Linked DNA regions of Oryctolagus cuniculus. The protein of the gene in region 3 interacts with the protein of the main gene of each other region in a pairwise test. Links are inferred from orthologs where the notes say so. Each region holds a gene or a part of one and is shown on either strand. Other genes may lie near its edges. The genes, in order: MPP2, PALS2 and LIN7A.

Region 1 (3,041 bases), on a different chromosome or scaffold from region 3:
TATCCATGCTCTGTTCCCACCAGAGCTGTGAGCTGGGGCTGGTGGGCACCCCACGGCTGCCTCCAGATCACCTGCCACGTTGGTCCCAAGTTCGTCCCTGGGTGGTGGGGGGGGGGGGAGAGTGTGGGATGGGGAGAGGCAGGCATCACAGAACACAAGACATGTGGCTCCAACCTGCATTCTAGAACCATCTGTGCTGTGCTTCCAGGCTCTCAACCTCTCCCAAAGCCATCCACCCCACCCCAACGTCAGGGGGATGGCATTGTGCCACAGTGCCAATTTGAGTCCTGGCTGCTCAGTTTCCGACCCAGCCCCCTGCTAATGTGCCTGGAAAAGCAGCAGCCACTGGTCCAAGTGCTTGGGCCCCTGCCACCCACGTGGGAGACCTGGATGGAGTTCCTGGCTCCTGGCTTCCGCCTGGCCCAGCCTTGGATGTTGCAGTCATTTGAGAGTGAAGCAGAGGATGGAAAATCTTTCAAATACATAGATCTAAAACAAAAGCAACCCAGAGCCCAGAAGCCTTTGCTTTTTCATTTAATCAAAGGAAAAGAGAAAAACACAGAGAAAACTCGAGAAAGTGATGGCTCCAGAGGGGCAGGGGAGGCAACGGGGCTGGGGCTTGGCCTGGGCGTGGGCGTGGGCGTGGGCAGTGGGCAGGGTCCTCCTTCTCCTGCAGTCCCCCTAATTCAGGTCCCCTCTGAGAGAGGAGGACAGCCATGGAGCAAACACGGTGGGCACACACCTGTTCCAGTCCACACAGCCCCAGCGCCTTCCAGGTGATGGGGACTCCACCCCCACCTGATGGGTACCCAGGACGGGCCTGGCATGGGCTCAGCCCCAAGAGGAGGGACCCAGCCCCACCCCTTGGGCACCACCAGTAGCAAAGCTGCCAGAATCACACCAACCAATAGGGAGGGGTGGCTGCAGCAGGAGAGGTGGGACCAGCAATTACCCCACAGCCTCAAGTCAGCAGGAAAATGACCCCTCTTCTTCCCACTCCAGGCCCTTTTAAGCTGAGGGTGAGGATGAGGGTGAGACAGGGAGAGCTGAATCAGGCACAAAAGAGAGGCTGACTTGGGGGCAAAGAAGAGTATAAAGATGACTGCATAGTGTATGCAGAGCTATGCAAATGAGATGGGAGCAGGTGGACCCTTACCTCTCATTTGCATATCTTATGCAAATGTAAAATGAGGTTCTAATATAATAAATATATTTCTAACATTTGTAATAAATAATTCTGTTCATTCTCCCTCCCCTCCCCAGGACACGGGCACACAGTGGCTCAGGGGCCAGCTCTGGCTGACACCATGGTGACAACTGACCAGACACGGGGCAGGGGTCCCCTGGGGTCCCTGGCGAGGGCAGGCTCACCTGGGGCAGGAGCACAGACGAGGAGGGGGAGCAGGTGCCTGGGGTCATCCAGGACAGCACTTCTCTTAACAGGGGGTCTACTTCACAACACTGCCCTCCCAGGGACTGAGGGGTGACGTTTAGGGCGGGGAGGGGGCAATCAGAAAAGGAAGACCCCAAGGAGGACCAAGGCTCAGGAATCTGGGGCAGGGTCTCATAAGAAACGGGGGCTGACAGGGAACCCCCAAAAAGGGGCCTCTAAAAGAAAACAAGCCTCCCCCAACCAAGCCACACACACACACACACACACACGTACACACACATGCACACACACGTCAGCGCCAGATCCACAGAGCAATGCAGCGTGTGGGGCCATGGCCAGGCAGGCCAGGGCCTCCCACTGGGGCAGCCCTGACCCAAGTGGGCCACCTGGACCTTACCAGGAAGATGAGCCTGGACAAAGGTTACGGGCAGGGCGACCAGACCCGGCCCACCCCGGAGCGCCCAGGGCTCCCCGTCACAGGGTCAGGCTCCAGCCACCCCTCCCTTGGCTGAGCCCACCCAGCCCCGCCAGCCTCGCCTCCCCCCCCCCAGGGGTGGGGCTGACCCAGCAGGGACTCGCTGGAGAAGTTTGAGGGGAGACTTAGGCAGTGAGACGCTGTGGAGGAAGGAGGGACAAGGCCACATCCACTCCTGGTCCCTGCCCCTCCCCGAGCTGAGAGCAGTCCCGCCCGTTCCCCCAGCCCAGGCCAACAAGGACCAAGGCCAGCCCCACCCACCGGGAGGCAGGGGTGAGACATGCAGGGGCCCTGGAGCTGGGGGCTGTGGCCAGTCCGGAGGAGGAAAGGTGCCTGGGGAGAGGTGGCTGGGACAGTGCACCTGCTGACCACGTGGTCCCAAAGCAGATTTCCCATCTCTGCACTGAGCAGGCGGAGGAGACTCTGACACACCCTGGGCATGGCTGGGCCCTTGGACAGGGACATCTGGTAGCCAATGGACATCGGGAGTGGGCAGCACCTGGGCACAGAGGTGCCCCACGAACACCCACCTCCCTGGCAGTGCTCGCCTCTCTGCTGGAGCCAGACCTCAGGGCTTGCTGGTGGCTGCTACCCAGGGCAAGCCAGGGAGCCGGGGACGGGGGCTGAGGATGGTGGCTGGAGTCACAGGGGAGCAGGGGACGGGTTCGGGTCCCGGGACAGGCTCAGTACACCCAGCTGACGGGCACCCACTGGGGCTCCGTCCGCAGCTTCTCCATGGCAGCCTGCAGCTCCCGGAAGGTCCTCTCCAGGTTGCTGTTGACCAGGCTGAGGTCAAAGTAGTGGCCGTAGCCCCTCTGGATGCGGCTGCTCTCCTCCACTGTCCGCCTGAGGTCTGCCTCCTGCCAGGCACGGGGGTCAACAGCAGGTCAGCGTCCACAACGCACTCCCATAGCCTGCTCCATCCTCCTCCCCAGAGTCCAGGCAGGAGTCCCTCCCTGCAGGCCACCAGGCCTGGCTTTAGAAAGTGCCACGCCCCTCACTAGGGCTCTGCAAGGTAGGATTAATTCCATCTCACTTTCTACAGAAAACTAAGGTACAAAGAGTCAGCCAGCAGCTCCCCGGGTCTGCCAGACTTCTTAAAGTCTAGGCAGGCCCCTTACCTATGCAACATGGGAGGCCTGTACCAGAGCAGCCAGCCCACAGTGCCCAAGG
Region 2 (3,340 bases), on a different chromosome or scaffold from region 3:
TGGTTCCTTCAGAATCAGGCAGGACCTGGGTTTCAAGTCAGGTGACTCTTCACTGAAATACAAGGAACTTTTCTAAATTTATGTTTTTCAGCTAGACTGAAAGGAACTAAACTGCATCATTTCCATTTATATTAGGACTCTAATATCCACTAATTAAATAGTAAATCATGGGGGCTGGTGCTGCGGCACAGCGGGTTAACGCCTTGGCCTGAAGTACTGGCATCCCACATGGGTGCTGGTTTGAGTCTCGGCTGCTCCACTTCCAATCCAGCTTTCTGCTATGGCCTGGGAAAGCAGTGGAAGATGGCCCAAGTGCTTGGGCCCTTGCACCCATGTGGGAGACCCAGATGAAACTCCTGGCTCCTGGCTTCAGATCAGCAGCTCCAGCCGTTGTGGCTAATTGGGGAGTGAACCATTGGATGGAAGACCCCCCCCCCCCCCCCCGTTTCTGCCTCTCCTCTGTGTAACTCTTTCAAATAAATAAATAAATCTTTAAAAAAAATAGTAATTCATGAACACCATTTATAGAAAAAACTCCTTTAAGTGGCTATTTTCTAAACAATATGCATTTCTATATTACATGATAAGGCTAAAATATTTATGAGGCAGAAGTCATCTCTACTGCACCAACATGGTTGAAATATTTTGCGGATCAACTTCTTGCACTGCTACAATTATGCCAAAGCTATTTAAACAAGCTCCACGCGGCAGTGCCAGGGTGCACCAGGGAATACCGCACATTTCCTGAGAGTGCAGAACTGAAATGTTTGTAGTGTGTTGAAACATTAAGTCATAGGATATCACCTCCATACTGTGTGCTTTGATGCGTGTTGCTTTGAGAAGCCAAGAATTTGGTAGAAATATATATGGTTTAAAAGCTTCCAGAGTTGACAAGAAACTGTCAACAAATTCCTGTCTCAGCACAAGGAACATGAATTTGTGTTCTTGGCTATGAAATTCTAGAATTAAAAAAATAACAAGAACCCTACAGATTTCTAATTTCAACAATACAGCAACTTGAGTATCATGAAGCGCTGTTTCTAAAACAGCCTGTGAGTACGGCTTGTATATTCTCTTCCCTTAAAATCCTCCTAACTGGCATGCCCCGTGACAGCTTTGGTGAAGGAGAAAAACTCAGCCGCTGGGCACCTGGTGCTTGTCACCAAACGCTAGTATCTGAGCACCTAGTGCTTTTAAGAGTGAAGATTGTGTGAGAAGCCAGCAGCAGTAGAAAATATAGTTAACTTAGTTTAATGATGAGCTGCATCTCTGAATGTGTTTCTGAATTTATGGCATCCAAAAATGCTAAAGGAAGATACTAAATGAGGTGAATGTGACAATTTGTACATTATATAAAGCCATCTACAGAATTTTTTTCCTAATCATTAAACCAAAAGTATATTCCCTAACAGAAATGTTAAAAATGTTCATATATACTATATAATATATAATACATATTATATAGTGTATATATTATGTGTGTGCGTGCGTATGTATACAACAGCTTACAGTTATTTCCAAATCGTGTAAATTGTTGAACTGATTTGGTTTTCAACACAACAAGGATATATACCCTAATTATCAAATCACATTTCAAAACACATACTGATCATTCACGAAAACCCCCAATTGCAACCTCAGAGGAATACCTCAGATATGTGTGGAGGCACGAGACTTTGGCGGACCACAACCTAATACACAACATATAAGAAAATCAAAACCTGTCCAAATTAGTAGGTTCACCTCTGTCCATTAAATTTGCGTGTGAAAATAAACTTTCTTCAAGTGTCACTTTGCTGCAAGGTTTTACAGGATAAGGCACTCTCAAGTCTCTGTGACCTTGTTTCCAACCCCAGAGCGTACCATGTGCATGTTAAATTAGTGAGTGTTCAGCATGTAACTACCAACAAATGAAAATAATAACCTCGTAAGAGAGGGCAAGGTATTGCTCATTTTCTAATGACATAAATGAAGGGAAGAACTGGTATCTGTATAAATTAGAGTGGATAGCCATACATGGCTGAAATAACAGAAATATGTGGCACTGGACAGACTTCTGATGTCAGATTTAGATGGTAGTAGACTGGCTGTAGCACTGCCATTAAAATTCTGCTTCTGTAGGATATTTAATTAAGAAGGAAGATCAATAACTACTACTTTCTCCTAAGAAGAGTAACGAACCCTTCACTGGTTAAATACTGAACTAAATGACAGCTTTACAAAACTATTTCAAGTATTCATTATCACAGTGAAAATGTGAGACCAATGTCAGAGTGAATGATTTGAAAATTCCTTTGATGAAAAAGGCAAGGGTACTAAATCAAAACATATACAAAATGCTTCAACGCATTTCTTTATGTGATATGAATAGAAAGATTATCCATAAAAAGTTAGAAAAATTAAGATAAATTATATATTAGTACACCTTCCCAACCACATTTTATATAAAAATTCAGAATAGTGTACAGTTATTTCATTCTACACAATAAAAATGCCTGGGCTTAGCAGGTATCTTCTATCTGTACATGTGTTTTTCTCAGCAGAAGGTTTATTTGTTCAGTCACTTTTCAAGTTTTAACTGTTGACCTTACTGAACTGTCAGTAAACCCAGCTGATTGGGACCCACTGGGGCTCCATCCTCAGTTTCTCTATGGCAGTCTGTAGCTTCTCAAAGGCTTTGTCTAGATTGTCATTCACGATGATCAAATCAAAATAGTGGTTGTAGGCTCTCTGAATCCGGGCACTTTCATCCACTGTTTTCTTCAAGTCAGAGTCCTGTTAAAAGCAAATGCTCGTATTGTAATACAGATTTGCTTGCTCAGATTCCAACAAAAAGTGCTTAAGAAATAAGTATGTTGGATGTGTGTGTATCATAATTCTGATATTAACCCTCAAAAACTACACAGAATGTTAAAAGACATTGCTGGGGCTGGCGCTGGGGCGTAGCAGCTACTGCCTACAGCGCTGGCATCCCACACGGGCACTGGTTCGAGTCCCAGCTGCTCTACTTCTGATCCAGCTCTCTGCTATGGCCTGGGGAAGCAGAAGAAGATGGCCTAAGCTTGGGCCTCTGCACCCACGTGGGAGACCTTAAGAAGCTCCTGGCTTCAGATCAGCGCAGCTCCGGCCATTGCAGCCATCTGGGGAGTGAACCAGTGGACATAAGACCTCTGTCTCTGCCTCCCTGTAATTCTGCCTTTCAAATAAATAAATATTAAAAAAGACATTGCTGCCTGTTCACATCCTAGTCTCATTTGCATTCATGTTTGCATTTCTAAGTATCTTCTATTTTCTGTTTCACTGATTTGAGGGTAAGATTCCTAATTAAAAGTCTACTGAC
Region 3 (3,656 bases):
AAAATCCGGAGACACATTCCAAGTTAAATCGGTCAAGCCTATTTTTTTTTTTTTTTTTTTTTTTGGACAGGCAGAGTGGACAGTGAGAGAGAGAGACAAAGAGAAAGGTTTTCCTTTTTCCATTGGTTCACCCCCTAATGGCTGCCGTGGCTGGCGCACTGTGGCCGGCGCACCACACTGATCAGAAGCCAGGAGCCAGGTGCTTCTCCTGGTCTCCCATGCGGGTGCAGGGCCCAAGCACTTGGGCCATACTCCACTGCACTCAGGGGCCACAGCAGAGAGCTGGCCTGGAAGAGGGGCAACCGGGACAGAATCCGGCACCCCGACCGACCGGGACTAGAACCAGGTGTGCGGGCGCCGCAAGGTGGAGGATTAGCCTATTGAGCCGCGGCGCCGGCCCAAGTCTATTTTTTTTAAAGCAACGATAATTTGGGTTGGTAAGTGTAACAAATCCCATCTAGTCCTTAAAAATCTAATTAATTAAAAATTAAATAAGAGCTAATGGAGACCTCCTCAAATTTACTATTGAATTCATGAATGCCATGACTTGATTGTATTTTCCTTGTTCTTGAAATGGCCACTAGAATTTCGTCTCAAGGTACTGTGATCAAGTGTACTGCAAATGCTATATTGGCAAACATAAAATTTTATGTACATTTATGTACATACTATGCAAGCAAAAGCATAGTCTATAAATGTCTTTTATTAAGAATGTTATTGTTGGTGGTTCTGAGGTAATTTCACAAAAACTAGTGGAACAAAGAAACAGAACTGAGTACACAGCCCAGCAAATATTTATGTCCATGTTGTATACTTCCAAAGATGACTGAATGAACATAATAATATTGGAAGCTTTTAGTAAGATGGCAGAAGTCTAGATGGCAACATATCTCTTTCAAAATATTTCTTAACAACATTACCCTGGGCCAATGTGGTAAATGAATTTAAGGAATTGGTATACATTTGTATTACTGAAGATGGAAGAAATTGTGTGTCAGCAGAAAGAACATCAGTGTTTGGTTAAGACTAGTGGGTTGGCATTATTATCAGAGCAGGAGAAGGCTTTGGACAAGATGGCTTGTCCATGCCTGACTACAGCCCTTAATCTCAACTGTATCAGCCTAGCCCAAGCCACCCCCGCTCCTGCCTGCACTACTACTTCTACATATATTCTCTATTAGCCTCCAGCCAGCAAGGATCCACTCTCACAGCAGCCAGTGGGGTCTTTTTAATACATAAATCACATCAGGTCAGTCTCTTGCTTGAAAGCCTTTAGTGGCCTCTAGTGCAGTAAAATCCAATTTCCCTTAGCGGTTTAGGGAGCTCTCTGCGGCCTGGCCCCAGCGATCTCACTGGCTTCGTAATCCGCCAGTGCCCTTTCATGCACCATTATCTAAGTACTCGGGCTTTCGCTACGTTCCTCCAGCATCACACAGGCCCTGTCTGCCACGGAACTGCCCTTCTCTTTCTTGGTTTGCCCTTGCCCTTCAGTCCCCACCTTGACTGTCACCTTCTCTGAGAGTTCTTCCCCTGCCACCCAGTCTAGAGTCATCACCTAGCCTGTCTCTATGGAAACACTCCTTTATAACTCTGCAAAATACTAGTCCCAACAGGATATTTTCATGGATCTGTCTACTCCAACCAGGTGAACATGTAGTCGTCATGAGAGCAAGAACTGTGCTTTGCTCAGGGTGCTTCTGCAGCTTTTAAATCAGTGCCTGGATCCTAGCAGTAACAGATAAATATTTATTGTTCAATAAATGTAATTTTGGAATATAAGAGAGTGTAATTTTAAATAGAGATATCAAATACAGTGTATATAATATAATAAAGCTAGCTAGTTATAAAAGATAGATTGTTGGAATCCCAAGACTGCCAAAGGACAAGTCCTATATATTTTTTTTTTTTTTAGCTTCCCTATGCAGGATGTAAAGAGGGAACTCCTCTTTACGAGTGTTACAAAAACTGAGAGCATCATGTTGTATCAAATATTTCTGTGCAAACTGTAATCTGATACTTCACGACTTAAACCACCATTACCTATTGTTATTTTCCAAAAAAAAAAAAAAATTGAAAGCCTCATTTCAAATACACATTTGCAGGCACTTTCAACTGTCATTTCCAAAGGACAGACAGGGAAAGTTATGTAACTCCAGATCATCTGATGTTGACAGATGAAACGCCTGGTAGAGTAAGCAGGAAAATAATCCTATTTTCTTTGTAAGTGCGGTGATGGGGGAAATCCTGATAGGTTTTGCAGCTTCAGATCATCTATTTAAAAAGTGGAATTTTAATGGTCCATGCCTTGAAGGGTTTTTCTGAGCATTTCAGATAACGTGCGGTAAGGGCTTAGCAAATAGCAGGCAATTCAAACATAGTGACTTGATATTAACATTTTTTTCCTGAAAAGGTATAGCAAAAACCTGATTTAATACTCTTTGTCACCAGGAGGAATTTAGAAAAAGACAGGGGCATCTTAGACACATTTTAAATGAGCACTTAATAAGAGCTCCAAAATCTCGAAGAACACGGCCACTAGCTGAATCTTGCTGATGTTCTTTGCAGTGGGGTCTTTTCCTAATAAACTGCGATCATCTCCATGTGCTAAGGAAGCTTCTTCCAGGGTCCGCACTGGGTTGCACAGTGTAACGCCGTGCAAAGCCCATTCTACAAGGCGGGTGAGTGGTGCCTGGAATCCAGCTCACACTCACACTCAAGGCTCTGGATGAGCACAGACGCTGCATTTCCTAATTTGGATGAACGGATTCCTAGAGAATTGCATGCTGTTTTCTAAAACACCTCACACCTGTGGAGAAGATGCCACACCTGTGGCAGACGCATACACTCTGGCTTGCAAATTTTGAGCACACTGTCTTTTGTTTAGTTGACTTTCTTTTGGATGATTACACGTAACTCAACAATTCGTTTTACTTTGGCTATCTAAGGAACTGTGGTTAAAAAAATATATCCCTGATGGTTAAAGGCCTCTCCCATGCAGGAGGCACCTCTCACCTATGACATATGGTTCTGCTGCGTTTGCTGCTGCTGCTGCTGTTGCTGCTGCTGGATGAGCAGCTGCTGCTGCTGCCGACGCCGCGCCGTCCGCAGCTTCTCAAAGCGGGCCTCCATTTCCTCCAGGACCTTCGGCGTGTATCGGACCACGAGCTTGACGCTGTCCTTAGCGGCTTTGAGCAGTTCCACAGCTTTCTCGTGATGTTCCCCTTCCACGCTCTGCAAAGGCAGTGACATCTCTCAAAGGGGGAAGCTTCGGTGTTCTCACCCGAAAGAAACAATTCTGAAGTTGGTTATCATGGTCAAGACCCAGGGTTGAAATTTCAGGAAGTACAGCAAATGGAGTCTAATGCTATTAGTATTTATTACTAGTTATTACATCCGTAGCCAGACTATAAGCAGGGTAAAGCTGCACCAGAATGCAACCAGAATTGATTGGATGGGACTCGGAGTTAGAGGGATGGCACACAGTGAGGTCCTCAAGGATAATGCTAACATGTAAATTGAAGTTTCTAAATTTCATCTGGAAGGGTAAGTGTGCCAGTCAAGATAATTTTGAAAACATTAAAAATAGTGAAAAGGAAGACTTGTCCTATCAGATTTTGTAGTTTATTAAGAATCTACAATGATTACACTAGTGTTTT

What was found.
Region 1: the proteins of LIN7A (region 3) and MPP2 interact in binary tests that used the Homo sapiens proteins (3 or more experiments, as listed by UniProt). The two-hybrid records come from large-scale screens. The link is inferred for Oryctolagus cuniculus from reciprocal best matches to the Homo sapiens genes LIN7A and MPP2.
Region 2: the proteins of LIN7A (region 3) and PALS2 interact in binary tests that used the Homo sapiens proteins (3 or more experiments, as listed by UniProt). The link is inferred for Oryctolagus cuniculus from reciprocal best matches to the Homo sapiens genes LIN7A and PALS2.

The regions. Positions count from the first base shown.
Region 1 is NC_091448.1:19,289,299-19,292,339, reverse strand, and holds the end of MPP2 (MAGUK p55 subfamily member 2), read right to left. Parts: intron 2,729-3,041; coding exon 2,552-2,728; 3' UTR 519-2,551; downstream 1-518. UniProt on the Homo sapiens protein: Postsynaptic MAGUK scaffold protein that links CADM1 cell adhesion molecules to core components of the postsynaptic density. In CA1 pyramidal neurons, required for synaptic KCNN2-containing channel function and long-term potentiation expression.
Region 2 is NC_091447.1:16,513,084-16,516,423, reverse strand, and holds part of PALS2 (protein PALS2), read right to left. Parts: intron 2,776-3,340; coding exon 2,599-2,775; 3' UTR 1-2,598.
Region 3 is NC_091442.1:83,607,821-83,611,476, forward strand, and holds part of LIN7A (protein lin-7 homolog A), read right to left. Parts: intron 3,232-3,656; coding exon 3,013-3,231; intron 1-3,012. UniProt on the Homo sapiens protein: Plays a role in establishing and maintaining the asymmetric distribution of channels and receptors at the plasma membrane of polarized cells.